Linked DNA regions of Tamandua tetradactyla. The protein of the gene in region 2 purifies or fractionates together with the protein of the main gene of each other region. This does not show direct contact. Links are inferred from orthologs where the notes say so. Each region holds a gene or a part of one and is shown on either strand. Other genes may lie near its edges.

The links.
Region 1: the proteins of CDH1 (region 2) and PLEKHA7 purify together in Homo sapiens (co-immunoprecipitation; 3 studies listed by BioGRID and IntAct, with this or other methods). This does not show direct contact. The link is inferred for Tamandua tetradactyla from reciprocal best matches to the Homo sapiens genes CDH1 and PLEKHA7.
Region 3: the proteins of CDH1 (region 2) and CTNNA1 purify together in Homo sapiens (affinity purification with western blotting; 10 studies listed by BioGRID and IntAct, with this or other methods). This does not show direct contact. The link is inferred for Tamandua tetradactyla from reciprocal best matches to the Homo sapiens genes CDH1 and CTNNA1.

What each region holds. Positions count from the first base shown.
Region 1 is NC_135334.1:92,391,359-92,401,424, reverse strand, and holds the start of PLEKHA7 (pleckstrin homology domain-containing family A member 7), read left to right. Parts: upstream 1-5,545; 5' UTR 5,546-5,565; coding exon 5,566-5,651; intron 5,652-5,749; coding exon 5,750-5,826; intron 5,827-5,915; coding exon 5,916-5,973; intron 5,974-9,256; exon of another isoform or gene 9,257-10,066. UniProt on the Homo sapiens protein: Required for zonula adherens biogenesis and maintenance. Acts via its interaction with CAMSAP3, which anchors microtubules at their minus-ends to zonula adherens, leading to the recruitment of KIFC3 kinesin to the junctional site.
Region 2 is NC_135342.1:62,713,114-62,723,475, reverse strand, and holds the start of CDH1 (cadherin-1), read right to left. Parts: upstream 4,993-10,362; 5' UTR 4,865-4,992; coding exon 4,817-4,864; intron 4,385-4,816; exon of another isoform or gene 4,215-4,384; coding exon of another isoform or gene 4,173-4,214; intron 3,933-4,172; coding exon 3,818-3,932; intron 1-3,817.
Region 3 is NC_135346.1:18,440,140-18,450,495, reverse strand, and holds the start of CTNNA1 (catenin alpha-1), read right to left. Parts: upstream 4,495-10,356; 5' UTR 4,362-4,494; intron 1-4,361. UniProt on the Homo sapiens protein: Associates with the cytoplasmic domain of a variety of cadherins. The association of catenins to cadherins produces a complex which is linked to the actin filament network, and which seems to be of primary importance for cadherins cell-adhesion properties.

The DNA.
Region 1 (10,066 bases), on a different chromosome or scaffold from region 2:
GAGGAATAAATGAGTGCAGCAAAGTGGCAGGTTACAAGATCAACACTCAAAAATCTGTAGTGTTTCTATACACTAGTAATGAATAATCTGAGGGGGAAATCAAGAAAAAAAATTCCATTTACAATTGCAACCAAATGAATAAAATATTTAGGAATAAATTTAACTAAAGAGACAAAAGACCTATGCAAAAAAATTGTTAAAAGAAATCACAGAAGACCTAAATAGATGGAAGGGCATACCCTGTTCATGGATTGGAAGACTAAATATAGCTAAGATGCCAATTCTACCTAAATTGACTTACAGATTCAACGCCAATACCAATTAAAATCCCAAAAACTTACTTTTCAGAAATAGAAAAACCAATAACCAAATTTATCTGGAAGGGCAGGGTGCCCCGAATTGCTAAAAGTATCCTGAGAATAAAAAATGAAGTCAGAGGTCTCATGCTACCTGACTTTAAGGCGTATTATGAAGCTACAGTGGTCAAAACAGCATGGTACTGGCATAAAGATAGATATACTTATCAATGGAATAGAATAGAGTGTTCAGATAGAGACCCTCTCATCTATGGACAATTGATCTTTGATAAGGCAGTCAAGCCAACTCACTTGGACAGAACAGTCTCTTCAATAAATGGTGCGTAGAGAACTGGATATCCATATGCAAAAGAATGAAAGAGGACACCCTATATAAAAGTTAACTCAAAATGGATCAAAGACCTAAACATTAGATCTAAGACCATAAAACTGTTAGCAAAAAATGTAGGGAAATATCTTATAAATCTTATAGTAGGAGGCAGTTTCCTATACCTTACACCTAAAGCAAAAGCATTAAATAAATAAATAAATAAATGGGAACTACTCAAAATTAAACACTTTTGTGCATCAAAGAACTTCGTCAAGAAAGTAAAAAGACAGCCTACACAATGGGAGACAATATTTGGAAATGACATATCAGATAAAGGTCTAATATTCAGAATTTATAAAGAGATTGTTCAACTGAACAACAAAAAGACAGTCAATCCAATTACAAAATGGGCAAAAGACTTGAACAGTCACTTCTCAGAAGAGGAAATACAAATGGCCAAAAGGCACATGAAAAGATGCTCAACTTCCTTGGCTATTAGAGAAATGCAAATCAAAACCACAATGAGATCATCTTACACCCACCAGAATGGCCATTATCAATAAAACAAAATGACAAGTGCTGGAGAGGATGTGGAGAAAGAAACACACTTATCCACTGTTGGTGGGAATGTCAAAGGGTACAAACGCTGTGGAAGGCAGTTTGGCGGTTCCTCAAAAAGCTCAATATAGAATTGCCATATGACCCAGCAATACCATTGCTAGGTATCTACTCAGAGGACATGAGGGCAAGGATACAAATGGACATTTGCACACCAATGTTTATAGCAGCACTATTTACAATTGCGAAGAGATGGAAATTGCCAAAATGTCCATCAACAGAGAAGTGGCTAAACAAACTGTGGTATACACATACAATGGAATATTATGCAGCCGTAAGACAGAATAAAGTTATGAAGTATGTAACAACATGGATGGACCTTAAGGACATTATGCTGAGTGAGATTAGCCAGAAACAAAAGAACAAATACTGTATGGTCTCACTGATATGAACTAACATAAGTGAATAAACTTGGAGAATTTCACTGGTAACAGAGACCATCAGGAGATAGAAATAGGGTAAGATATTGGGTACTTAGAGCTGAAGGGATACAGATTGTGCAACAGGACTGAATGTAAAAACTCAAACATATGGACAGCACAATACTACCTAACTGTAATACAATTATGTTGAGACACTGAATGAAGCTGCATGTGAGAATGACAGAGGGAGGAGGGCTGGGGGCACAAATGAAATCAGAAAGAAAGACGATAAAGACTGAGATGGTATAATTCAGGAATGCCTAGAGTGTATAATGATAGTGACTAAATGTACAAATTTAAAAAATGCTTTTGCATGAGGAAGAACAAAGGAATGTCATTACTGCAGGGTGCTGAAAATGGATGGTAATTAATATTTTTAAAATTTCAACTTATGTGTGAGACTAAAGCAAAAAATGTTTATTTGGTACAAAATTTATATTTTGACTAGTGCATTTCCTAATATAACTTATGTAGACAGCTTAACTGAACACCATAAGTACATGGAACCTTGAGTAGGACATGAGATTTTGTTGGTTTGTCCAGAGTGATGCCCCAATAAATCCCACAGTGATTTGAACAGTGAATTAAAAAGCATTTGCAAAGTTCCCTTTGGGGAATGGTGAGAAGTGGGGAAAATTCAACTTCCCCAAGTTGAATTCTTGATAGTCTCACAAGCAGTGTGAACAACCAAAGCTATAGGCTGAGCCCCCAATCTTGGGGTTTGTTCATATGAAACTTAACCCCACAAAGGATAGGCTAAGCCTACTTAAAATCAGGCCTAAGAGTCACTCCCAAGAGAACCTCTTTTGTTGGTCAGATGTGGCCTCTCCAGCCAACACAACAAGCAAACTCAGCACTCTCCCCTGTCTACGTGGGACATGACTCCCAGGGATGTGGACCTTCCTGACAACATAGGACAGAAATCCTAGAATGAGCTGAGACTCAGCATCAAGGGATTGAGAAAACCTCCTTGACCAAAAGGGGGAAGAGTGAAATGAGACAAAATAAAGTGTCAATGGCTGAGAGATTCCAAGAGGAATCTTCCGAGAGGTTATTCTGGAGGTTATTCTTACGCATTAAATAGGTATCACCTTGTTAGTCAAGATGTAAGGGAGAGGCTGGAGGGAACTGCCTGAAAATGTGGAGCTGTGTTCCAGTAGCCATGTTTCTTGAAGATGATTGTATAATGATGTAGCTTTCACAATATGACTGTGTGATTGTGAAAAAATTGTGTCTGATGCTCCTTTTATCTACCTTATCAACAGATGAGTAGAACATACGGAATAAAAATAAATAATAGGGGGAAAAATTTTAAAATAAATTTAGTTTGAAATGCTAGTGATCAATGAAAGGGAGGGGTAAGGGTCATGGTATATATGGATTTTTTTCTGTTTTCTTTTTATTTCTTTTTCTGAATAGAAGAATCACCAAGAAATAATCATGATGATGAATATGGAAGTATGTGATGATATTGTGAATTACTGTTCATATGTGTAGAATGTTAAGAAAGTTAAGAATGTTTGCGTTTGGTGTTTTTTGTTTTTAAAAAATTTAAAAAAAAAGAGAGAGAGAGAGTAGCTCATGAAGAGAGAAATAGATCAGAAGAGACATACATGCAGGCCTTTGGAAATGCAGAAGCCCCAGGAGACGCCAGGAGCTGAGAGAGCTGACAGAAGCTAGACAGGAACCAGAAGCAACACAGATGCAGACATTTAGAGTTGCTTGGAGTGCCAACAGAGAGAGCAGATGCTTAGTCATAGGTATTTGGAGATGCAGAGCCCAGCAGACGTCACCATGTGCCTTCCCATGTGATTCTAAGCAAGCCAAAAGGATCCACAGAAGCTGAGCGAGCTGTTTAATACCAGAAGCCATGAAAGGACACAGACACCAGTCATGTGCCTTCCATGTGACGGACTTCGATCTTCCTTCAGAGTAGAGGTATCTTTCTCTGGATGCCTTAGTTTGGACATTTTTATGGCCTTAGAACTGTAAACCTGTAACTTAATAAATCCCTTTATAAAAGCCATTCCATTTCTGGTATATTGCATTCTGGCAGTTTTAGCAAACTAAAATAATCGAGTATTTTTTCATTGATTTAAAGTCCACTTGTATTTCTTCTCTATGAACTATGTGCTCATGTCCTTTGCCTATTTATTGTATTTTTTAAAATTAATGTTTAACAATAAAAATATGACTTTCTTAATGTCATTTGCTCAAGAACCTCCTCAGAGGGAAGAGGTGCCTTCAGATAGGTGTTCAGGGTGCTACACAATCACACTCAGCTCCCTCTTCTGACTCATAACTGCACAATACCACTATCTGTTCCCAAGGAAGGGTCCCTTTGTGGTCTCAACATCCTGCACGTCTCCCACAAATGTGTTTGCTCTCCTATTCCTTCCCTGTGGGGGACTCTCTTCCAGGTTAAACCCGACCAGTCCTTCAGAACCAAGCTTAATTTCACCTCCTCCGGGAGCATTTCTGAATAACCAATTCCCACACTGCATACAGTCTCATTTTCACATGAGCCTGGAAGGCTGGGCCTGGCACTTGCCCAGAGCTAGCTAGCTTCCTGCTCTGTCCATGCTCAGAGTGTCCGAGTATCTGAGTGTCTGAGTGAGGAGTGTGTTTCATTCACTCATTTGACATTTACTGAATGCATATGTGAGCTAGATACTATTCCAGGCACTGGTCCAGACGCTGGAGACATGCCAGTATATGAGGCAGACAAGGTCTCTCCTGTCATCCCACTGACGTTTCAGTGTGGGTGGGGCTGGGGGACAACTAATGCACAGCAAACAAACATGACAATAAACAAACACGCAACCAAGGTCAATTAAGTGCAATAAGTCATGGAATAGACAGTGAAAGAAGGGGAAGAGTCTCCTTTGAACAGAGGGCTCAGGAGGTGGCTCCCTGGGGGATGATGTCAGAGCAGAGACCTGAACATAAGATCCAGCTGTGTAGAGCCCTACAGAGCCCTGACCAGAGGCCCCACCTGGCTGGTCCGCTCTTCAAAAGATGGTCGAGGGATAGTTCAGCCCCCAGCACCCCTTCTTTCTGTCACTTGGACAGGATTTGAAGGCAGAAGCCTGTGATCCGTGCAACTTCAGGTGCCGGGACTTTGCCCTCTGGCCTCATATCCCAGCTGCAAACTTAGAAACGCCCCTAGCCCACCTGAGCAGATCACGTGGCCGGAGTTATCCGTCTCCCAGGTGCGCGGATGCAGCCAGGCGTTACTAGAGCAGCTACTAGGTGCTAGGGTGTAAGTAAGCACTTCATACCACTGTTATCTCGTGTAATCGATGCAACAATTCCGTGTAGTCCTGATGATAAACTTCGTTTTACCGAGGAAGTAACTGAGTCACGGCAAATGGAAGTGACCGTTTAGGATTGTGAGGTTCACAAAGAAGCACAGTTCCTGGGGGAGAGAAATTCTGCCGTGGGATTCACGAGGTGTTTACTGGGGTACATGGGGTGCGCGACTGTTCCCAGAGTTTGTCAGGTCTAGCCGCGGGTCCTCAGGCTGTCGGCACTTCCATCAGCAACACACCTCCAATCCGGCCGGGGCCTCGGGGCAAAGGGGCGCGAGGCGGGCGCGCCCGGGCGGGCGGGGTGGGGGCGGGGAAGGCGCGGGGACAAAGGCCGCGGCCGCAGCGCTCTGGTCGTCCCGTGCGGCAGCGAACTCCTGGGGCCGGGCCGGAACTCCAGGCGCCCCGAAGCTTAACGCGCGCTCGCGCCGCGAGGAGCCCGCGAGGCGATGGAGCGCTCTGGGGAGCTGCAGGGGCCAGCGCAGGCCCAGCCCGCCTGCCCGCCGCCCCCTCCGCCCCCGCCGCCCCCTCCCCTGCCTCCTCCCCGCCCCGCGGCGGCGGCGGCGGCAGCGGCTCCGCGCTTGGGGAACATGGCGGCGGCGGCGGTCGGACGGGACACTTTACCTGAACACTGGTCCTACGGCGTATGCCGGGACGGCCGCGTCTTCTTTATCAAGTACGGCGCGGGGATGCGGGATGTGGGCAGGGCGGGCTGCTGAGCGTGCGGGCCCGCGGGCGGTGGCGGCGCTAACAGGTGCACCTCTCTCCCCACAGTGACCAGCTCCGCTGCACGACCTGGCTGCACCCGCGCACCGGGGAGCCCGTCAACTCGGGCCACATGATCCGCTCAGGTGGGCTACGGGCCGGCGGGGTGGGCGCTCTCGGGAGCCGCGCGTCGCGTCTACCCGAGTTTGACCCGAGTTTTCTCACGTTTCCGCAGACCTGCCCCGCGGCTGGGAGGAGGGCTTCACGGAGGAGGGCGCCAGCTACTTCATCGAGTGAGTGAGTGGGGGCGCGGCTGCGGCGCCGGGGTCTGGGGAGGCCTCACCGCGCCTCGCACCTGCGCGCCTGGGGGCGCGGGCCGTCCCTGCTGGGCGCCCCCTGCCCCTCCTTCTAGCCCCGCCTGGGCGCCGGGCGAGTTGGCGCGCACAGCGCGGCGGCCGCCCGCGTCGGGTGTTTTTGTGTGCCGGGGCTGTGTGGCGGGCTCCGGGAGAAGGCGGGCTGGAGTCCGCAGCTCCGGTGTGGGACCGGCGCGGTGGTCTGGGCGGGGGCAGGCGCTGCAAACTCTGCGTCCTGGACCACGCAATCCGGCGGGATTCGCGAGCTGAGTGTGAGGGGCCGGACACACCTCCCCGCCCGCGTCCGCGCGGAGAGGAGTGGGAGCCCGGACCGGGATGGAGCGGGGCGGGGTGGAGAGAGTAGAACAAGAAATTCGGCCCAGGATACCGAGCCTGAGAAGGCGACCAAGGGAATTTCGCTTGGAGAGGCCTTCTCCTTTGGCTCTGTCTTCTGGGACCGTCGAGAAGAGTCGGAACCGTTCCTCTTCCCCTCCCCCCACCTCTGGCGGGCCTGTGGGGATTGGGTAGGGGTGGGGAGGGCAACCGACCAACCAATAAAATTCCTCAAACCTCTCTTTTAGTCGGCGCTGAACCCGACACTTAACTCCCGCCTCGGCTAGTCAAGCAGTAGGTTTTCCGCAAAAACCTTGGAGCGTTTCCGCACCGGGCAGGTTAGCACCGCAGATATGGGTGTGTAGAAATCAGATCGAGGAACATTAAGTTCACGCGCCGTCCACATTCTAACGCCACTAGTGCTTTTACTTCTCGCTCCAGGGCATGCGCCTGAGCTACAGCTTTTCTTACTTTGTCAGCTCCTTTGTGAGCTCCGTAAGGGCAGAAACTGCTTTTGATCCTTTGCCCCAGTGCCTGGCATGGAGTAGGCACTCGGTAAATGTTTGTTCATTGAAGGAATAAACCAGCCAAAGGTCTTGTCGGTGGGCTGACTGGAACTGGGAGTACTTTCCGGGAGTAAGTCAGAATTCCCTTTTCACCAACTTGAAAACATTGTTAGTGAGTAGGGGGACAGCACAGTTGAAGCTGAAATGGTCCCAGAAAATCTCGGAGCTTCCCTCCAGGGTTTGGACTCCAGTGGGAACCCCCACACTTGTTAGTTGGTTGAAACACTGATGGATGAGAGGACTTAGGGCCTGGCTGTGGTCCTGTCCTCCTGCCTAGCTGGGTTGTGAAGGGGAGATGGGGAAGTTCGCTGAGGGTGTCAGAACCTCTCTGTTAAAATGGGCTCATAAGTGGGTCAACTGTTATTTATTAAACTCCCCCTATGAACCAGCATCATAGCTCTAGGTGTTGGGGCCACAGAAGTGAACCAAACAGACCAGGTCCAAGTGCTCATGGAGCTTGCAATCTTGTAGTTAGTAAATAAATAGATAGTGTTAACTGCCATGCAGAAAATTTAAATAAGGTATGTGATAGCAAGTGACTTCTAGCTTAGTGGAATTGGATGACAGTGATGCTGAGGTGGAAAAGCATTCCAGGAAAGGGGAACAGCCAGTGCAAGTGCCTAAGGCACAAAGAGCCTCATGTCCAAGGATCAGAAAGGCCAGTGTGGCTGGAATACAGCAAACAGGGAAAGAATGGTATGAGAAGAGGTCAGAGATAGGAGAGAAATAATGATGTAAGTCTCTGTGATCCAGGGTAAGGAGATTTTGGTATTCTAAACCCAGCAAGAAATCACTGGAGGGTTTTAAGTAGAGGAGTGATATGATTAGATTTGCAATTTTAAAAAGATCACTCTACCTTCTGTGAAGAGACTGAACTGTTGGTAGGCAACTGCAGGGAAGCAGGGGAGCAGTGGAGACAGTTACTATAGCTCAGGTAAGAGGTGATGGTGGCTTGACTGAGGATGATGGCACTGGACATGGAGAGAAGTGGCCAGGTTCAGCTTGCATTTAGGAAGTAAAATCTATAGATCTTCCTACTGTATGGGATATAGTCTCTAAGGAAAAGAGAAGAGTAAGATGACTCCTAGATTTGGGAGAGGAGCAGGTGTGAGGTGGTGGAGAATCATGAGCACTTATTTTTCCCTGTTACCTTTAAGATGTGTATATACCAGGTAGATATATGTATCTGAACCGTGGCAAAACGAGGACTGAGTGGGTATTTTAGATGATATTCAAGGTCAGGGGGGATTGGAGGAAATCACCTAGGAAGGGAGTGTAGACAGAAAAGAGAAGACACCTTAAGCCTTGGGACATGGCAGCATCTGGAAGTTAGGAAAAGAGGCAAATCCAGCAAAGGAGACTGAGAAGGTAGGAAGGTAGGAGAGAACTCAGGAGAATGAGCAGACAGAAGCTTCAAGGGCAAAGCCCGAATGGAGTAGGTGAAAGAGAACATATGAAGAGGGGAAAAGGAGTCAGTATGTATAGGCCAATCTTTCAAGTAGTTTTATGGGGAAGTAGAGTTGGGGTATTATCTAGCATCTGGAAAGTGATCTGGGTTTAAGGGAGATTTTGTGTGTGTCCTTTTTTTTTTTTAAGTGGGAGGTCCTATAGCATGTTTTTGTTATGATGGAAATGATCCACTGGAGAGGAAGAAAGTGATGATGCAGAAAAGAGGTGAGATATTGCTGGACTAGAGATCCCGAGGAGGCAAGAATGGGATCCAGAGTATAAATCTCTACTGGTCTCAGACAAGTGCAGGGCACTTTTGATGGGAGGAAAGGCTGCAAGCTCTGGCGCCAGTGCAAGGAGGCCCCTAGATGTGGTGGATGTTCCTGTAGAATAGTTTCTGTCTTTTCCATGAAGCATTAGGCAAGGGCCCTGAGCTGGGCTATTGAGGGGGTGTGCAGACTTCAAGCCACTGTGGCAGCCTCACGCCCTTCTTCTCTTGCTGACTGTTCTATGATAACTCTGTTTGTAAAGTCCCTGGTGATTAATAAGCCCTACCCCCCAGGGCCTCGCTGCAACCTCCCAGGCCTAGGGGAAAGCAGTGTGTGAGGGCATCCTCTACCATTAAAGGCAGACTGTGTGCGGAGGAAGGGATCCTGGTGGTAGCTGATTTTATTTTCTGCCTTCTTCCTTGGCAATTTCTTGAGAGACTAATTAATTGTTCTCCTTTTCCTGACATTAAAAATGTTTTGCGTCAGTTTGCTTTCTCAGATTTGCTGTGAGCATTTTTGAATGTCTGAGATTGATTTTCTTTTCCTCTTTTTTTTTTTTTTTTTGTGGCCTCCTCTACTATGGCTCCATAAATTAGGGGGACAAAGAATTGCCATGACTAATTTTTTTTCTCCAGTTGAATTTTGGACAGAAACGCTGTATGACGTTTTCAGGATGCATTAGTTGCTCCTGGTATTTAGTAGATACTGTAATACTCTCCAGAGTCCATTTCTTGAAGCAGAAAATCTTGAGCTAAGGCAGTTGGATTTTAGTTTTGGTTTCTGTACTTTGGGTTCAATTTTGGATTAATGAGGGACAAAACATATACGGAATCTGCACCTTTTTCTCCCAATTCTAGACTAGGTGGTGCTGACATTCGCTTTAAAAAGACTTTTTGTTCACTGAGACTTCTCTACTTTCCAATGAGCCCCTCAGCCAGCTAGCAAGATATAATAATAATTGTAATAATAGTGTCATTAATGGCAATAAGAATAGTAGTAGCAATTACATAATAGCCTAATTGTCTTTGTTTGTGGGGGCTGATATGACAAATACCATGCACTGGTGGGCTTAAACAACAGGAGTTTATTGGCTCACAGTTTTGGAAGGCAGAAGTCTGAACTCAGGGTGTCCATCAGGCGGTGATTTCTCCAGAGCCTGCAGTGTTCTGGTGGCGGCGCCCCGCAATCACGTGGTGATCTCCCTGGCCGGCTTCTCTCATTTCTGGCTTCTTTTGATTTGTGGATTTTACTTCTGCATCCAATTTCCTTTGCTTATAAGGCTTCTGCCATATGAGTTAAGGTCCGCCTTGATTGGCCTCAGCCGTATAAGCAGGGGAGTGGGTGACTGAGAACCTGTCTGGAGAGTCTGGGTGTCAGGACTGGCACGAGCCAAGGGTCCAAGTCCCCTTAAGGTGG
Region 2 (10,362 bases):
TGAGGGGTAGTGACTATTCATCCATCCGTTCATTTCTTCAAAATGAGTGCCTACTATAACCCTAAAAATTATTAGCCACCATTTAATGACTTTTCATCTTTATACATTTCTGTTCTGTCATTATTTCCTTCATTCATTACTGTATCCCAGGGTCTAGCCAGCACTGGTACAAAATAGACATTCATATTTGTTGAATAAATGAATGAACATGCATATCTGATTAGACATTCATATTTGTTGAATAAATGAATGAACATGCATATCTGATTCTCATAGCAAGCTCATAAATATTATTATTCCCCCATTTTATGGATGGGGAAACTAAGGCTCAGAGAAATAAAGTGACTTATTCAAGGTCATGTATTTTGTAGCACAAAGTCAAGTCTGAATCTTTCACAGACTTTATTATTCAATGAACTATACTAAGCAAGCCTACTGATCCCATTCCGACTCCCTGGAAAGCCTAATGTCCTGAGAGATGGGGGTTAAGGCAGAACAGAAACCCAGAAAGGTCGAGTCTGAATTGTGACAGCTGCCTCTTGGGGATTTTAGGCTTTTGGCAGCTTCTGGGAGATGGGAGAGCCGATTACTTCAGCGTCTGCCTTATCTGGGGCTCCGCTTGGAAGAGAGAGTGTAACAGACACCAAGGTGAGCCTTTCCTTCCTAAAGGCTCACCCAATGAAAAGCCCTGGAGAGGAGACAGGGAGTTCCACAGCCACCTGGCAAAGAAAGGTGGGCAGGTCCAGCAGTCCCCAAGGGGAAGGAGCTGCATCCAGCTTTCCTTAAATGGCTGCGGGGGCCCAGGACCAGGACTTTTCCCGCCTCCGCTCTTGGTGAGACACAAAGGCAGGGGCAGAAAGGCAGCCAATGAGTCTTTCCTAGTAAGGGCTGCATCCACCCCTGGCACAGACCTGAGTAATTGGGGAAGTGATGCTTAAGAATCTGAAGGGTGGGGAAACATCTGATGATGTAAGGCGATCCCCAAACAGGTTTTTTGTATTTGTTTTTTAAGCCCAGTTTAATTAGAGGCCCTGGATACTGCTTCTGCCACCCTTTCATCACATCTTTTAGAAAGGAGGGGAAATGGGTGTATTTAATCTACACATGTGGGTGCCTGTGAGTTAGTTAGTTACTTATCAAGCAGCTGAAGCTCAAACCCAAAACACAGGCCCTGTTTGTCCAAGGCCAGACTGTAGGGGAAGCAAAGCAAGGAAAGGATTGGATCAAAAGCCTGCCTGCTTTTCTTGTGTCCAGTTCCCAATACTCCCCACCTCTACCCCCACTCAACTTAAAGCTGTATTCACTAGGCTAATACTGCTAAAATTTCAAACTGTCTTAACAGACTGCGTTTCTCAAACCAAAGTCCTAAAGAAAAGGAAAACACTAATCACAAGCTCTGAATAACTCATTTGGTTTGTTGTTTTTTTTTTTTTTTTTTTAATGTTCTTCATTCTAGAACCTGGAGAGAAACCAATGGAATAAATAGGCTGAGATGGTGAGATCAGCCATTCCCTAGGGCACAGGAGTGACCCCAGCAAAACGCCCTGAGGACCCCTGAATTGGGTCAAAACCGATGCTCTACAGTCACCCAAGGAGGAAAAAAATGAAAGGTTCCATATTCTCCAGCTCCCATGCAGCAAATTCTCCCCAAAGCCAATGTTAAAACCTGGTGCTAATCTCTTAGACCTCCATTATCCTGGACTGTCCAGTGAGAGCAAGACCACCTTCCCAAACCCTGGCTGCCTTGTTAAATCACAAAGCTAGTCCCTAAGGTCAACTGTGTCGTTTTCCAAAAGACACTTCCATCCTTCATTGATTCAATAAGGAGACCCTATGGTGCAAACAGGCCAAACAAAAAGTTAAATCAGGAGATCTGTCGAGTAGGGGTGGGGTCTGTGGCTATAAAGGGAAGAGGAACAAATCACACAAAAAGCCTGTGAAGGACTGGCTGAAGCTGCCTCTCCCGCAAAAGCCACCAGCCACAGCCCTGCCCTCTGCCTCCCACCTGGTCTGATCCATCTCTACCACCACCATCTCCTCTAAGGGGTCCCACCCAGGTCCCACCCGTCGGCACCTCTGTTCTCCAGGGCACAGATAGTCTTCTTCACAGGATTTCCCCAAACAGCTTCCTTTGTTTGAAATGACTGAAGAGAAAAAGGACAGGAGAAAGCCCAACTGTGGTTCCATGAGCAGATTACTGAATGTCTGAGCTCCCTCAGATGGCTGTTGTGAAGACTAAATGAGGTAAAATGTAAAGCACTTGCCCCAGAGTGTAGTTCAAAAGTGAAAACCAGGAGCTGCTACTAACAACAATGATAATAATTATTAACATGTAATGCTATTATTGGCCAGAAACTATGAGTTTGGGAGGTAGAAACTATGAGTTGGGTAGTAACAGAACAACCCACCCTTGAAGCTACCAAGTGTGCTCAATTGTCTTGGTACAGGAAAACAGACCACCAACAGTGTCCATCCACAGTTCATCCCCCCCCAAACACACCTGCCCCACTCTTCAAGCCTGGGCAAAGTCTGCCTCCTCCCAGAAGCACGTCTTCATTGTCCATTGACTCCACCAAAATACTCCAGGCTGCCCACACCCTTTGGCACCTAACTTCCCATGTCCCAGTGTCCTAAGGAGGCCTTAGGACATTCTCAGGAACCTGCTACAATATGAAATACTGAGACCAAGGCTCGAGTGTCCCCATTCCTGCCTCTTTTCTATCCACTCCCTGGTGCCCAGCACAGGCAAGAACTGAGAAATTGGTCAAGCCGCCGCAATATCAGTGAGACAACATTTTCTTTCTGACCCAAAAAGAAGCTCCACACAACAAAGCTGGGGTTCGGTAAATATGTTTAATCAATTGAGCCTCAGTTTCTCTGGGGGAAAATGCCACCCGCTGTGGGACAACTTCCAAAGGTCCAAAAAAAAAAATTAAGATTGCTGAATCACAGATGTTCTAAGAAATGATCATGATGATGAATAAGCAACTGTGATGATATTGTGAATTACTGATTATATATGTAGAATGGAATGAGCATATGTCAAGAATGTTTGTGTTTCTTTCTTGTAATTTTTTTTAATTAATAAAAAAATTTTTAAAAAGTTAAAAAAAAAAAGATTGCTGCATCATATTTTTCACTTGGTCAAGGACTGGAAGAATAAACACAGTGGATGCCTGAGGGGAAATGTGGTGGCTCCTCTTTCTAAAAGGCTTTTCTTTACTGTTATGATACTCCCACAGTTAACTAAGATCATGAGGGAGGAGAAAGACGTTTGATAAGAAATAAGCACCTAGGAATCAGTGAAACTAGAAAAGAAACCAATCCTTCCCTGGCTCCCACCCCTGGGCAAGGGTGAATTGGAACAAAGCAAACTCTAGAAACCAGGCTATCACAGTGATAAGGTCTAGAAGGGCATTGGGCGTTTGTGTGTATTTTCATCCTGAGTCACAGCCACCGAACTTTTTTTTCAAAAACCATTATTCCTTGAGGTACCTGCATGGAAATGATTTCATCTCTATGAGCAAAAGCCACAGCCCCAGTAACCAAGTGAGGGTTCCTCGGTCATCCCAGAGATGGAGCAGAACTATGTCTGGGAGTCAGAGCCCAGTTTTGCTGACCGTGAGCCAGTGGACTCTCCCCTCCAAGCCTTGATCTGCTCGGAATACCCCCCACCTCCCAGCGGGCTTTTCCCTCCCGAAATGACAGGCCATCTCTAAAGTTGTCAGGACAGTATGAGACACATATTGAAGACCTCTAATAAGTGCCCCCCACCCCCCCAACCGCAGAGGTCAATCACGGTAATGCGCGTCCCCACCTCTGCCCAGGACGCGGCCTCTCTCCAGGTGCCGCCGGGGCACCGGGAACGTGTAGCTCTCCGCACCAAAGCCAGGACGGCAGGGCTCCGGCTCCTCGCAGAGCCTCGATGAGACCTGGGGGAGGGGAGGAGAGGTGTAGGACCGGGGTTACTTGGAGGGGGTCCCCTCCTGCCCCCACCGAAACCCACAGCGCCGCCCCTCCCTCGCTCGAGGCGTCGGGATTGTGCAAGGACACCTCCAACCCCACCCCCACCCCACCCCCGGCAGCGGCGTCATCCTCTCGCTCCCCGAAACCTGCAGCGGCCAAGTCTCCGGGAACTCGAGAAAAGGGGGAGAAGGGGCGCGCTGGGTCACCTCCTCACGACCTAGTCCCCTCTTTCTTCCGGTCTCTTTCATGCTTTTTCATTTCACCGGAGGCGTCTTGACTCTTCCCGACACCACTTTCCTTATACCGGGAAACGCCGCCAATCCAAAGTCCAGGTTCTCACACAGGAGGCGCCCCAAGCCTTCTTGACCCCACTATCCTTATCCCAGGGCGCCCCACTCCTAATGGGCTCCCCTTTCTTCACCCGGGAGGTGCCTTTATTTCTCTGAACCTCCCTTTCCTTACCTCGGCGATTCGCCTCACTACTCCTGGCTTCTCTTTTACTCGCACCGGGGCTCCCCCTTTTCGGCATCCCGAGCCCCACCATGCTCCATGCTCCAACTGCCTGCCCCAAGCCCATACCTACTCCCGGCCCTGGAGCGCGGGCAGCTCGGGGCGCCCCCCGCCGCGGATAAATGCGGGAGGAGGCGGGCAAAGCCTCCCTCACCCTCACGCACTCCCTCCTCCGCCGAGTCCAGAGCGCCGAGCAGCTTCCAGGCCGTTCTGCTGCAGGGGACCCAAACTTTCTCGGAAAAGGGGGAAGTCGATGACAGGAGAGAGGAGGGGACGCGGGGCCTGGGAGCGGGTCGGGGGACTGGAAGGTGTCCCCTCACAGCGAGGGGAACCGACGTACCTGAAGCAGCAGCAGGAGCGCGAAAAGGCTGCAGCGCGGAGCGCCCATGGTGGGCCGGGCGGGTGCCGAGCGGGGTCAGGTGGAGTCGGGCTGGGCCGGGCTGGGCCGGGCTGGAGTCTAACAGTACTTATCAGGCTCACAGGTAGTCCGCGGCTCGGGACGCCACTGAGGCCGACAGCGCTGCCGCCGCCAGGTGAGCCCCGAGGCCTCCGCCCCTGGCGCCGCTGATTGGCTGAAGACGCACCTGCCTCGGCTGCAGCCAATGAGCGGCGCGGCGCGGGCTACAGCTTCCACAGGCGGGCAGGGGGCGGGCAGCCCGCCCACAGTCCCGCCACCGCCCCGCCCCTCGGCCCCGCGCTGACAGGGTCACCAGTCGCTGTGAGGTTGGAGGTTGGAGGGTCAGCAGGGACTCGGGGCTGCACGGCTCTGATTCCTAGAGAGTTCGAATCCCAGTCCCGCCGTGGGTGACTGGAGTTTGAAAAGACCTTGCCTCTTATTTAGTACTGTTTTGTTACCTGCAGGTCTCTATCGGTTAATGAGTTACCAAATGGATTCATTAGGTCAGGAACGCTTCTCCCAGCCTCAGTTTCTCCACCTTCCAAATGAGAATAATGGTCACCAAAGTCCCCCCCTAGGTTGTTGCGAGTTTCCCATGCAATTAATAAGGCCACTGTTTCCTGTAAGATAAAAGCCATGCATGGCTGTGAGAGATAATAATAGTACTAGGCATTGAACGGACTGTGCTAAGCATTTGACTGAAGTTGACCATCTCATTTGATCCCTTCTCAAAGCACCCCAAGGACAGTGTCACTGTTCCCATTTGATAGATGGGGCAACTGAGGTATAAAGAGGTTAAGGAGGCCAGTAAGAGAAGGCAGAGGACCAGAACCCACCTTCAGGGCCCTTGCATTGAACTATTATGCTTTCCCTCTTGGGAAGCCAGGCAGTCTTCCAGCTGGAGCTGCAGTTTTCAAACCATCCTTTAATGTTGACCTGGAGGAGATCCCTTTAGAGATCACCCAAACCTGTTATTTGCAAGTAACTTCCCTAACATCATGTTAAAGCTGAGACTAAAACCCAAGATCTCATTTCCAGACTGTGGCTCTTAACAGAAACCACAGCCACCACCACCTTCTCTTGAAAATTCTGTTCCCAGACAATTTTAGGATTGCAAAAAGAATAGACAGGATTAACGTTAGGTCGGACAACTTCCCTTTTCTGTGGCCATGGTTTGGCTACTTGGGAAGAGCACCTCCTTTCCCTCCATCCTGCAAGCTTGGGTCAGAACTACAAAACAGTATGTTCACTGCGCCCTAGCCATGTGACCTTGGGCAAGTCATTGTGTTCACCTGTATAAACGTATTGAAATGAACAGCTAAATCACTAAACTGAGTACTTGGCACATACATAGTAGTAACTGCTCAATATGTGGTTGGTGTAGAGGTTGTTCTCTTGAAAAGCCTACCCACCTCTTTCCCTTCCTCCTTGGGAAAGCCATGCTTGGAATTCTTCACCTAAAGCTACAGCTCCTCTACCCCACAGTCCCCTCAGTTTTAATGGGTTTCTGAGCACACACCCAGGCCATTTGGATTGCTGCATCTTGGCTCTCTCTGCCTCTCAACCCACCAGGAGGCTCGGAGCAAAAAGGCTCCAGTATTTCCTTTCCCACCGAGGCTCCTGCCCGGATTGTGCATTAAACAAGATAATGGAAATACAGAAAGAGGCGTTTCCCCCATGGGGCAGCCTTGTCAGTTTATTTTTTTCTCCCAGTTATGTAAAAATGCATATTTTATACCATCGCTCGGCCCGGGGAGCCTTTAGGGCTTTGCTCTCTTCCACCCAGCAAGCCCTGGCCTTGTAGTTCCGTGGCAGTGCTCATCGACTCTTCCATTACACACTGATAATTCAATAAAAAGGATCTTAGAAAACAATTAGGGGCAGCGAGGACAGGTTGGGCCTGATGCTCTCATCAGACTTCTTGGCAAGTCTGAATCCTTCTCCAAGATCCCAAGGGTGGGTCGTGAAGAGCCGTCCCCCATCAGCTGTCCAGGGTGAGGAGGGAACGTGCGGGGTTCCCTGTGTGGATGGCAAGGTGTGACTTTGGGCAACACTGTGAATTGCCTCCATTTCCTCTTTAATCAAACAAGGACATTAATAGCTAGTTGTAAGGATCAGATGAGCGGGTTTAGAGAGCCGGCAAGCCATGCTGTGGGCGGCCTTTGCTCTCAGTTTGACTGAGAGTTCAAATTCCAGCTCTGCGACTAGCTGGGTTGGATAAGTCACTTTATCTCTCCAAGTCTGGATTTCCTCATCCATAAAAATGTTGATATCACTTAATTCACAAGGTTATTGACATCACACAATTCGCAAGGTGATTCTAAGTGCTCTGTTAGTTAGCTATGCGCACTCTTTGCCTGACACATTCCTATCCCAGCTGAAGGTAAAATTGGGAGCCTCTTCATCCTCAAACTCTGCTTCCTCCAACCCCCAGTATATTAAAGGCTCCTAGGATCTATCTCCCATTTGCTAGGAAAACCTCTTTCCACTGGATGGCTAGCCATTTTGTCCCTCCCATGCTCATTTACATTTTAAAGAGGACTCTGGGGAATGACCTTGCTTGTTTCAAAGGAATGAAAGTTCTAGATCTGGTAAATTCTATGCAGGGTTTAGCCTGGTGTTAATCCATGGTTTCTGGTGGGGAGGGGGTAGCCAGAGGAGGGGGTAACGTGTGTATGTGTGCCATGAAAGCCTTGAGATTGTATGCGAACCTGTCAGTGCAGGTGGCACTGCCTATTGCTTTCATTACCTTCTCAATTGGAGGCAGATCAAATTGCAATCCAGGGGTTGAGATCCCTGAGGGCCCGTTTAGTACTAAAGGTGAAATTCCTGGCATGGACTGGGAAAAGAAATGTTGACGAGAGTCCTGGTCGGTGCTCTCTAGATCACTCCAGGTAGGTGACACCAGCCACTGCAAAGCGAGCATGCACCATGGAATGACAAGCCTTCTCCTTCCTAGTTGGGCATACCGCTTGGCTGGACTTTCATTTCCTGGGTTTGGGGAGACTGGTCTGTTCATTCGAGGAAGGAAAGCTAATGATTAATTCCCCAGGCGGAACTGTCCCTTTCATCTCAGTGCTGCCGGGCCGGGCCGGCGAAGGGACCGTAAATACGGAGCTTAGGTTGGGAGAGAAGCGCCTCTCCGGGCCTCGGCTGAGAGCAGCCGCACCCCAGCCCGCTGCGGACGGAGGATTGCACCCAGGCCACGGGGGCTCCCGACCTCACCGGTAGAGGAGGCTCCGTTTTAAAAGCTCCAGGAGGTTCCTGCCGTCTCTGCCGGGCCGGGCTGCCGGCCAAGCACGCGGGGGAGGGAACTGGACACCCCACTTCAGCTTTCTGTGAAAATGGTGGTAACCGATAGGGGTACCGCCCTTTGCAGCCGGCCATTCACTTCCGCACAAAACATTTTTATTTCAAACACAAAAGTAAAGAAAATAATCTCTACTTTGTACCGTGTGATGAATGCCTCCATCATCCAGCTTCAACCAGGATCTTTTGTGGTTTTGTTTTTTTTTTATAGTTTTGTGATTTGTTAACTTTCGGATTGTACCGTGTCTTGTTTCATCTCTCCTCCTTTTTAATATTTATTTTTGTAGGATTTTGTAGTGCAAACCCCAGTTAACATGCCATTTCCCCTGTGACTATTTCACTATGCATCTATAATTGAGGAAGAAGTTTCTTTCCACATAACCATCATGCTGTTAGGTAATAGCACCTAATAAAATTAACAATAATTCTTCAACAGTGTCTAATGGCTAGGCCATATTTTTAAAACGCCTTTTAAAATATTTATTTTTTTCTTTTTACAACTTATTTTAATCAGGATCCAAAATATAGCCACACATTGCATTTGGCAGTTTTGTGTCCTAAGTCTCTCTTTACCTGTAACAGTCTTCCCATCCTTTTTAGTGCAGCTTTATTGAGGTATAATTGTTTATATTTAACGGTACCATTTGATGAGTTTCGACATATACATATGCTGTGAGACCATCAGCACCGTAAAGATATTTAACATACCCATGTTTTAAAAAGCTTTTGTTTAGACATCATTCCAAATTTTATTTGGACATCATACTTTTTCAATAGCATTAATTTTTCTTTTAAGAAACCTGGCCACTTGTCCCATAGAATGTCCTGCATTTGCATTTAGAATGCATCCTCACAGTGTCATTTAACATGTTCCTCTATCTGTATGTCCCATATTTCAGTAAACTGTTACTCAGCTTTAGAGGCTTGATTTAATGTAGATTCAATTTCCAGGCAAAATATTTCATAAGTTTGTGGGTGTTTCCCATGGCATCGTATCAGGACACACACAATTGTCTGGTCGACTCACTTTCAGGATGCTGGGAATCAGCTGACACCATTATCAATTTCCCCATCATCCTTTCACCTCCTGGCTTTAGCACCATGCATGATGACCGCTCAAATCCATTATCTCATTTAGGCAAATAAACATTTATCAAGTACCCCCATGCACCAGGCACTGTATTTGAAACTGGGAACATAGAAATAAAATATGGTCCCTGCCCTCAGAAAGTACATAAGGTAGTGGGGGGTGCAGACCAATAAACATTCATCCATTTATTTATTAAATATTTATTGAATGCCTACTGTGTGCCAGGTATTGTACTAAATGCCAATAATTGCATTAAATTGTATGATAGAATCGCTACCATTTATTGTAACTCAAACCTTACTTTATATGCATTATTTCATCAATGCTCCTATGGCTCTTTGAGTGCTGTCACTAGATCCTTTTTTCAAATTTGGAAGCAGAGGCTGAGAGATAAAGAAATTTGCCCAGTTTACAGAGTAAAAATGACAGAGCTGGAATTTGGAAGCCAGGCCCACTGGCCTCCAAATCCTCTTCATCTCCATGTTTAACTGCTAAAGGTCAGGACATGCATGTCTTTATTTCTTCCTCATGCATGTCTTTATTTTATTACCTATCTAGCCATACACTAGATAAAGGGGATATTAGTCACGAGGTTTATACAATCACACAGTGTTTCAGTTTGCTAAAACTGCAAGAATGTGATGTACCGGAAATGGATCGGCTTTTTCAAAGGGGATTTATTACGTTACAATTTACAGTTCTAAGGCCATGAAAATGCCCAAATTAAGACATTAACAAGAGGATACCGTCACTCAAGACAGGCTGATCATGTCCAGGGTTTCTCTGTCACATGGCAAGGCACATGGCAATGTCTGCTGTCCTTCTCCCCCCGGCTTTTGATTTCAAATGGCTCTCTCAGCTCCTGTGGGTCTTTCTGGCTTTCCCTGGCAAGTGTTCCTTCAGTATCTTCAAATGTCTGTGTCTAGGGATCTGCTCTCAGTATCAGCTCTCCAGGTATCTTTGGCTCTTAGCTCTCCATGTTCACAGAGATTTTTTATTGTGGTAACATGCATACAACATAGAAGCTCCCATATTAATCACATTCAAGTATACAACTCAGTGGATTAATTGCATTCACACTGTTGTGCCA
Region 3 (10,356 bases), on a different chromosome or scaffold from region 2:
CACAAGCATTGAAGAACGAAATAGATAAATGGGAACTCCTCAAAATTAAACACTTTTGTGCATCAAAAGAACATTGTCAAGAAAGTAAAAAGACAGCCTACACAGTGGGAGACAATATTTGGAAACAACATATCAGATAAGGGTCTAGTATTCTGAATCCTTAAAGGGATCGTTCAACTCAACAATAAAAAGACAACCCAATTACAAAATGGGAAAAAGACATGAACAGACACTTCTCAGAAGAGAAACAGAAATGGATAAAAGGCGCATGAAAAGATGCTCAACTTCCCTGGCTATTAGGGAAATGCAAATCACATCTCACACCCACCAGAATGGCCATTATCAATAAAACAGAAAACGACAAGTGCTGAAGAGGATGTGGAGAAAGAAGCACACTTATCCACTGCTGGTGGGAATGGAAATGATACAACCTTGCAGAAGGCAGTTTGGCAGTTCCTCAGGAAGCTAAGTACAGAATTGCTATATGATCCGGCAATACCATTGCTAGGTATCTATTCAGAGGACATGAGGGCAAAGACACAGGCATTAGCACACAAGTGTTTATAACAGCATTATTTACAATTGTCAAGAGATGGAAACAGCCCAAATGTCCATCAACAGAAGAGAGGCTAAACAAGCTGTGGTATATACATTCGATGGAATATTACGCAGCTGGAAGACAGAATAAAGTCATAAAGTATATAACAACATGGATGGACCTTGAGAACATTATGCTGAGTGAGATTAGCCAGAAACAAAAGGACAAATACTGTATGTCCCACTGATATGAACTAACATTAATGAATGAACTTGGAGAATTTCAGTTAAGAACAGAGGCCATCAAGAGATAGAAATAGGGAAGATTTTGGGTAATGAGAGCTGAAGGGATACAGACTGTGCAACAGAACTGACTAAAAATTCAGAAATGGATAGCACAGTACTACCTAATTGTAGCCCAATAATGTTAGTACAGTCAATGAAGCTGAATGTGAGAATGATAGAGGGAGGTGGGCTGGTGGCACAAATGAAGCCAGAAAGAAAGATAGACGATAAAGACTGAGATGGTATAACCTAGGAATGTCTAGAGCACATAATGACAGTGACTAAATGTACAAATTAAAAAATGTTTTTACATGAGGAAGAACAAAAGAATGTCCATATTGCAGGGTGTCGAAAATAGGTGGCCATTCATATTTTAAAACGTCAACTTATGTGTGAGACTAAAGAAAAAAATGTTTATATGGTACAAAATTTATTGACTACAGCATTTCCTAATATAACTTATATGGACAGTTTAATTGAACACCATAAGTACTGGAACCTTGAATAGGGCATGAGATTTTGTAGGTTTGTCCAAAAGGATGCCCTGATAAATCAAAAAGAGTGATCTTAACAGTAAATAAAAAAGTATTTGCAAAGTCCCCTTGGGGGAATGGTGAGAAAGGGGGAAAATTCAATCTCCCCATTTGGAGAATTCCTGACATTCTAGCAAGCAGTGAGGACAATCAAATCAATAGGCCAAGCCCTCAATCTTGGGGGTTATTCATATGAAACTTATCCCCATGAAGGATAGACCAAGCCTACTTAAAATCAGGCCAAAGAGTCATCTACCCCTAGAAAACCTCTTTTGTGCTCAGATGTGGTCTCTCTCTCTCTCAGCCAACATGACAAGCAAGCTCACCGCCTTCTCCCTCTCTACATGGGACATAAATCCCAGGGGTGTAAAGCTCCCTGCCAATGTGGGACAGAAATCCTAGAATACACTGGGACTTAGCATCAAGGATTGAGAAAATCTTCTCCACCTAAACGGAGGAGAGAAAAATGAGATAAAACAAAGTGTCAGTGACTGAGAAACGTCAAACAGAATCGAGAGGTTACTCTGGAGGTTATTCTTATGCCTTTTATAGATATCCCCTTTTTAGTTTAAGGTGCATTACAGAGACTAGAGGGAAGTGCCTGAAAATGTAGAGCTGTGTCCCAGCAGCCATGCTTCTTGAAGATGAACGTATCATGATATAGCTTTCACAAAGTGACTATGTGACTGTGAAAACTTTGTATTTGACGCTCCTTTTATCTACGATATTGACAGATGAGTAAAAAATATGGATTAAATATAAATAAATAATAGGGAGAACAAACGTTAAGATAAATTGAGTAGATTGAAATACTAGTGAACAACGAAAGGGAGTGGTAAGAGGTTTAGAAAAAAATAGGGGGACAAAGGTTAAAATCTGTTGAACAGATGGAAAAACTAGTGGTCAATGAAAGGGAAGGATACAGGGTTTGGTATGGTGAGTTTTTCTTTTTATTTCTTTTTCTGGAGTGATGCAAATGTTCTAAAAAATGATCATGGTTATGAACATACTACTATATGAGATGATACTGTGAGCCACTGATTATACACCATACATGCAACGTTTGTATTTTAAGAATGTTCATGTTTGTATGTTGTTTTGGTTTGATAATACAAAATAAATTAAAAAAAAAAAACCAAGATGCACAGGATAAAACCTTGGGTACAAGTGGATTAAAAAAAGAAAAGACTGAAAAGTAGTAACCAAAAGTATAAGGAAAACCAGGAGATCTGTCTCACAATACTCCCAAACTCCTGTGTTCTTTCATGCTTCTCACTCCCTCTCTTCAGCTGACAAAACCCTTCTCAAGTTTCAAAGGCCAGTCAAATATTTCATCCCTTCCTGGAAGCCTTTCCTGACTTCTCCAAATAAAACCAATTACCCTTCCCCATGTCCTCACAAGCTTCCTTTATTGCAAATATTATATAATATTTTATCTATACACAGTAGTTTCTCAATATTATTGCTAAGGCAGTTATCACAGTCTGCCTTATATTACACCGTGAACCCTTAGGAACAGAGAACATGGCCTATTCAACCCTAAGCCCTTTAAGAGGGGGGAAAATTATTTAACTTAATAAAAGTCAAGAAGGGTAAATAACTGGGCAGAGGCTAAGGATAGCTCCTCGGTTCATTCCTCTTGTAAAACAAAATAACGTACTTGAATTAATTTAATTTACAAGTTCACATTTTCTTAAAGTAACACACACCTGTATATCGTTTTGTTGTTTTTTTTTATTTTGTTTTGTTTTTTGCATGGGCAGGCACCGGGAATCGAACCCTGGTCTCCAGCATGGCAGGCGAGAACTCTGCTGAGCCACCGTGGCCTGCCCTGCAAATCGTTTTAAAAATCACTGTAAAACACAAAACAACCTCTCATCAAAACGTCTATCCTGTCACAATACAATGATGTAATCACTTCCTTCAACAAAAATATGAAACGTCCTTAGATTAACCGGGGACTTAAAAACACAACCTTTTCGAAATTATTGTAAATTCTACACAAAACAAATGCAGAAATGTTACAAAGCCGCAGGAGGACACAAGAGGATGTCAATCCTGGATTTGGACCAACTGACGCCTGCATTACTGGGAAGCCTTTAGTGCCAAGCCAAAATTAGGCATTCCGTCAAAATTTTTTCCAGCAAGTGCTTCTCCCCACCTCTTCACCCCCTACCCCACCACCACACACACACACACACACACACACACACACACGATCCTTTAAAAGTCTACAAGAATCTAATGCCACTTTTGAAAACTTGGACGAATCTGAATTAGGTGTGTCCAACTGACCAGCACAAATCTTGAGTAATTTCACAATAAACGGTACACGCCAAAAGTCCACACGGGTGTGGTGCACCTTATCAACAAGACTGTGTCAGGGAAAGGGAGAATTAAACTTTTATATCCGTTCGGGGCGGGAAATGAGGGTGCGCGGTCTCAGCAAAAGTTCTCAGTTCAACAGTCGGGGGAGTTTTAGCGGCCGGTGACGGAGAGGTGGGGCCAGAGAAAGCACAGAACCAAAGGATAAACACCACTGGAAAACTCAACTCCCGGGTCACACTCGCACAGGGAACAGCGCGCCGGCATTCTTTACCAGGCCGGCGGCCCCGGGGGCCGCGCGCGGGCGTGGCGCGCACACCGAGTCCACTCCAGCAAACTTTAGAAACCGGGAGAAACTTTTCCGGCAGGATACGCTGAGCTGCGCGAGGCCTGCGACTTCCTCTCCTCCGGCCGCGGCGGCCCCTCAACTTCCCGAGGCCGGGAAGCGCGGGCCCCGCCCGGCCAGGCCGCGGTACGGGGGCCACGCAGGGAAAGCGGCTGCGGGCCAGAGGCCGGAGACTGGCCTCGCGCCCCACCCGGAGCCCAATCCTGGGCAGGGCGGCGGAGGATACCGCACCCCACCCGCCAGCGGGGCCCCGCTAGGGGCGGCCCGGCCCGAGGACCCCCAGAGCCCCTGCAAGGGGCCCGTGCCGGCGCGAAGGGAGGCGCCAAGAGAGTTACCTGGGGCGAGCAGAGCGAGCGCAGGAGGATCCCGAAGCCCGAAGCCGACGGCCACCGCTTTGTCTCTCTCCCGTCCGGCTCCGAAGAGGAAATGGGCCGTCAGGCGCCCCCGCCCCCCGCCCCGTGGCCCGGGCCCCGCCCGCCCTTCCCGGCGCCTCCCTCCGACGCGCTCTTCCCGGAGCCTCCCGCCGCCACCGCCCCCAGGCCCGCGCTTCCTGGCCCTGCCCGACTCCCGCTTTGTAGGGATCCGGACTGCGAAGACAGCCTGGCGAGGCCAGGCCGGGACCTCTTCCTCTCGGTCCCCACCCCAGAGTTACTTTCTCCCAGGCCCCTAGTGGGCGCTCAGGCTGAGTGACCCTGAGAGGAAGGAGGAGCAGCGACTCCTGGAAGGCCCCCGCGGGGGATGGGGGGAGGAGGTGAGTCACCGCACTGCGCACAGGTGAGGCTCAGGCCCCGCCCCGGCCGCGGCCCGACGACCGGGCGCGGCGCCTCCGGGTCCTGGGAGCGCTCTCCTGCGTCACAAGTGTCCCAGAAAAGTGCTCAGAGTCCACCCTCTGGTTTTACCAAAAGAGAAACTGTGGCTAAGTAAAGGTCCCGCAGTGTAAGGCAGAGTGTAATAGAAACCGACATAAACTTAAGAAACCTAGATTCTATCCCTATCCCTCTGACCATTTAGAAGATTTTATTCCCACCCTATGTTCCTTATCTTCACGGTGAATACTCCTAAAAAGAAAATACTACAAAGCAAACAACAACAAAAATGACTACAGCTTGCTAATTAACCTGAGATAGGAAACCCTGATAATGTTTCTCCTCCTGGGATGATGAATAAGGTTGATTTCAGCATTGGCCTTTGAATCCGAAAGTAACGATATCCATTGCTGACTCTGCACTGAGCAAGCTGTGTACGAGAGACCTACCCTCAACATGCTCACCATCTATTATTAACATCTCCCTCTTCCTCCAAGGAATGAAAACTTCGGAAGGATGGAAGCCGTGTCCTCTAGCACAATGCCTGTCTAGTGAACATGTCTGGGTAAACTGCCCAATGTAACTCAAAGTATGATGGGTTTGTGCTAGTTAAGAGATGCTGACAAAGGACAATAGAATCATGAGGGAAGGAAAGAAAGATATTTAAGCAAAAGGCATATCTTGATAAGGCCCTTCTGGTCCTGCTACACCGCAGGCTGTTTCTGGCTTCAGGGTCTTTCTCCAGTAGTCCCCTCTGCTGGGAGTGGCCATGCCTTCCCCCACTTCACCTGGTTACCTCAGAACATGGTAATCAATCAATAAATATTTGTTTCACCTATCAAGAGAAAAAGCAAAAGGATTATGTTCCATAATTTTGTATATCCCTCACTTCACTCAGGACCAGCTACTTTATTTGTGGGGTCCCTTGCACAAATTAAGAATTTCAAGAGGGTGACAGTAGAGCATTAAACCAAGCATCAGGTCTTTCTAAGCATGGGGCCTTTCTAACTGCAGGGCCCTGACTTCCCTTGCTGTATTTTACCTACCTGCATTTATACATCTGGGTCCCACAACAAACTGAGACATTCTTCAAGGGCAGAGACTAGTCAAATGGTAGATAACTGTTTCTTGAATGAATGAGTGACTGTCATTGATCTTGAAGAATGGATAAGATTTCGAAAGAGAGAAATGAAGTCTTCCAGGTGGAGAGTTCATCATAAATAAAACTAGAATTGAAGATCAAAGTGCAGGGTTTGTTTGGGAAGAAGGGTCCAAATGAGAGACTTGCAGTGTGTCCCTTAAGCTAAGGGAAGTCAGTTCCCTATCTCCAAAAAAATCTGAAAAAGCTTCCTGGAGGAAACGAGCCTTCACCATGTCCTGGGCATTTGCTACATGCTGAGGAAGCATCAGCGAATAAAAAATTGACTTGATCTCTGTTCTCACACAACTTAAAATGTGGTGGAGGAGGCAGGTGTTAAAACAAGTAAACTACTAAAAAAATGGAGGGGGGTGGGAGAGAGTGTGAAGCCAGGGGCTGGAGATATAAATAGATTTGGGGGAAAATTAGCCTAGTTTGGGGGACAGTGACCTGACCAAGTACCCTTTATACTATACTCCAGGCAGGCTTTAGCACTCACCTCCCCATCGTAACTGCTTTTATCCAGGTCCCAATGACCTCCACATTGCCAAATCCAGTAATCAATCTTAGTCCTCAACTGACTTGTACCATTAGTGGCATTTGTTCATTCTCCTCCTTGAAATGCTTTCTTCACTCCCCCTCCAAGGCACCAAGTGCTTCTGATTTTCCTCCCAGGCTGCAGCTTTAGTCTCCTTTTTTTTTTTTCTTTTTTTTTTTTTAATTAAAGAAAAAAAAGAAATTAACACAACATTTAGAAATCATTCCATTCTACATATGCAATCAGTAATTCTTAATATCATCACATAGATGCATGATCATCATTTCTTAGTACATTTGCATCGATTTAGGAAAAGAACTAGCAAAACAACAGAAAAAGATATAGAATGTTAATATAGAGAAAAAAGATAAAAATAATAATAATAGTAAAAAAAAAAAGAAAAAAGACAAACAAACAAACAGACAGACAAAAAAAAAACCTATAGCTCAGATGCAGCTTCATTCAGTGTTTTAACATGATTGCTTTACAATTAGGTATTATTGTGCTGTCCATTTTTGAGTTTTTGTACCTAGTCCTGTTGCACAGTCTGTATCCCTTCAGCTCCAATTACCCATTATCTTACCCTGTTTCTAACTCCTGCTGGTTTCTGTTACCAATGACATATTCCAAGTTTATTCTCGAATGTCGGTTCACATCAGTGGGACCATACAGTATTTGTCCTTTAGTTTTTGGCTAGACTCACTCAGCATAATGTTCTCTAGGTCCATCCATGTTATTACATGCTTCATAAATTTATTCTGTCTTAAAGCTGCATAATATTCCATCGTATGTATATACCACAGTTTGTTTAGCCACTCGTCTGTTGATGGACATTTTGGCTGTTTCCATCTTTTTGCAATTGTAAATAACGCTGCTATAAACATTGGTGTGCAAATGTCCGTTTGTATCTTTGCCCTTAAGTCCTTTGAGTAGATACCTAGCAATGGTATTGCTGGGTCGTATGGCAATTCTATATTCAGCTTTTTGAGGAACCGCCAAACTGCCTTCCACAGTGGTTGCACCATTTGACATTCCCACCAACAGTGGATAAGTGTGCCTCTTTCTCCACATCCTCTCCAGCACTTGTCCTTTTCTGTTTTGTTGATAATGGCCATTCTGGTGGGTGTGAGATGATATCTCATTGTGGTTTTGATTTGCATTTCTCTAATGGCCAGGGACATTGAGCATCTCTTCATGTGCCTTTTGGTCATTTGTATTTCCTCTTCTGAGAGGTGTCTGTTCAAGTCTTTTTCCCATTTTGTAATTGGGTTGGCGGTCTTTTTGTTGTTGAGTTGGACAATCTCTTTATAAATTCTGGATACTAGATCTTTATCTGATATGTCATTTCCAAATATTGTCTCCCATTGTGAAGGCTGTCTTTCTACTTTCTTGATGAAGTTCTTTGATGCACAAAAGTGTTTAATTTTGAGGAGCTCCCATTTATTTATTTCTTTCTTCAGTGCTCTTGCTTTAGGTTTAAGGTCCATAAAACCACCTCCAATTGTAAGTTTCATAAGATATCTCCCTACATTTTCCTCTAACTGTTTTATGGTCTTAGACCTAATGTTTAGATCTTTGATCCATTTTGAGTTAACATTTGTATAGGGTGTGAGATACGGGTCTTCTTTCATTCTTTTGCATATGGATATCCAGTTCTCTAGGCACCATTTATTGAAGAGACTGTTCTGTCCCAGGTGAGTTGGCTTGACTGCCTTATCAAAGATCAAATGTCCATAGATGAGAGGGTCTATATCTAAGCACTCTATTCAATTCCATTGGTCGATATATCTATCTTTATGCCAATGCCATGCTGTTTTGACCACTGTGGCTTCATAATATGCCTTAAAGTCAGGCAGCGCAAGACCTCCAGCTTCGTGTTTTTTCCTCAAGATGTTTTTAGCAATTCGGGGCACCCTGCCCTTCCAGAATAATTTGCTTATTGGTTTTTCTATTTCTGAAAAATAAGTTGTTGGGATTTTGATTGGTATTGCATTGAATCTGTAAATCAATTTAGGTAGGATTGACATCTTAACTATATTTAGTCTTCCAATCCATGAACACGGTATGCCCTTCCATCTATTTAGGTCTTCTGTGATTTCTTTTAACAGTTTTTTGTAGTTTTCTTTGTATAGGTTTTTTGTCTCTTTAGTTAAATTTATTCCTAGGTATTTTATTCTTTTAGTTGCAATTGTAAATGGGATTCGTTTCTTGATTTCCCCCTCAGCTTGTTCATTACTAGTGTATAGAAATGCTACAGATTTTTGAATGTTGATCTTGTAACCTGCTACTTTGCTGTACTCATTTATTAGCTGTAGTAGTTTTGTTGTGGATTTTTCCGGGTTTTCGACGTATAGTATCATATTGTCTGCAAACAGTGATAGTTTTACTTCTTCCTTTCCAATTTTGATGCCTTGTATTTCTTTTTCTTGTCTAATTGCTCTGGCTAGAACCTCCAACACAATGTTGAATAATAGTGGTGATAATGGACATCCTTGTCTTGTTCCTGATCTTAGGGGGAAAGTTTTCAATTTTTCCCCATTGAGGATGATATTAGTTGTGGGTTTTTCATATATTCCCTCTATCATTTTAAGGAAGTTCTCTTGTATTCCTATCCTTTGAAGTGTTTTCAACAGGAAAGGATGTTGAATCTTGTCAAATGCCTTCTCTGCATCAATTGAGATGATCATGTGATTTTTCTTCTTTGATTTGTTGATACGGTGTATTACATTAATTGATTTTCTTATGTTGAACCATCCTTGCATAGCTGGGATGAATCCTACTTGGTCATGATGTATAATTCTTTTAATGTGTTGTTGGATATGATTTGCTAGAATTTTATTGAGGATTTTTGCATCTATATTCATTAGAGAGACTGGTCTGTAGTTTTCTTTTTTTGCAATATCTTTACCTGGTTTTGGTATGAGGGTGATGTTGGCTTCATAGAATGAATTAGGTAGTTTTCCCTCCACTTCGATTTATTTGAAGAGTTTGAGGAGAGTTGGTACTAATTCTTTCTGGAATGTTTGATAGAATTCACATGTGAAGCCGTCTGGTCCTGGACTTTTCTTTTTAGGAAGCTTTTGAATGACTGATTCAATTTCTTTACTTGTGATTGGTTTGTTGAGGTCATCTATTTCTTCTTGAGTCAAAGTTGGTTGTTCATGCTTTAGTCTGCTTTGATGATTCTTTCCAGTTCCTCCCAAATGCTACATGTCAAAGCCACAGTTCTCAAAGTGTAGTCTGGGGCACCTTGGCATTCTTTCAGGAAGTCAGTGGGCTATGGGAGCAGATATGAGAATCCAGCTATCTTTTATTAAGCCATTCATTAAAGAGAAATGCAAAAATGCAAAACTATGGCACTTCTCATGCCAATGGCTGAGAGATTCCAAAGAGAGTCAGAGGTTATTCTGGTGGTTATTCTTATGCATTATATAGATACCACCTTTTTAATTAAGGTGTAATGGAGAGGCTAGAGGGAACTGCCTGAAAATGTAGAGCTGTGTTCCAGTAGCCATGTTTCTTGAAGATGATTGTATAATAATATAGCTTTTACAGTGTGACTGTGTGATTGTGAAAACCTTGTGTCTGATGCTCCTTTTATCTACGTAATCAACAGATTAGTAAAATATATGGATTAAAAATAAATAAATAATAGGGGGAACAAATGTTAAAATAAATTTAGTAGATTGAAATGCTAGTGATCAATGAAAGGGAGGGGTAAGGGATATGGTATGTATGACTTTTTTTCCTTTTTATTTTTATTTCTCTTTCTGAATTGATGCAAATGTTCTATGAAATGATCATGATGATAAATATAGAACTATGTGATGATATTGTGAATTACTGAA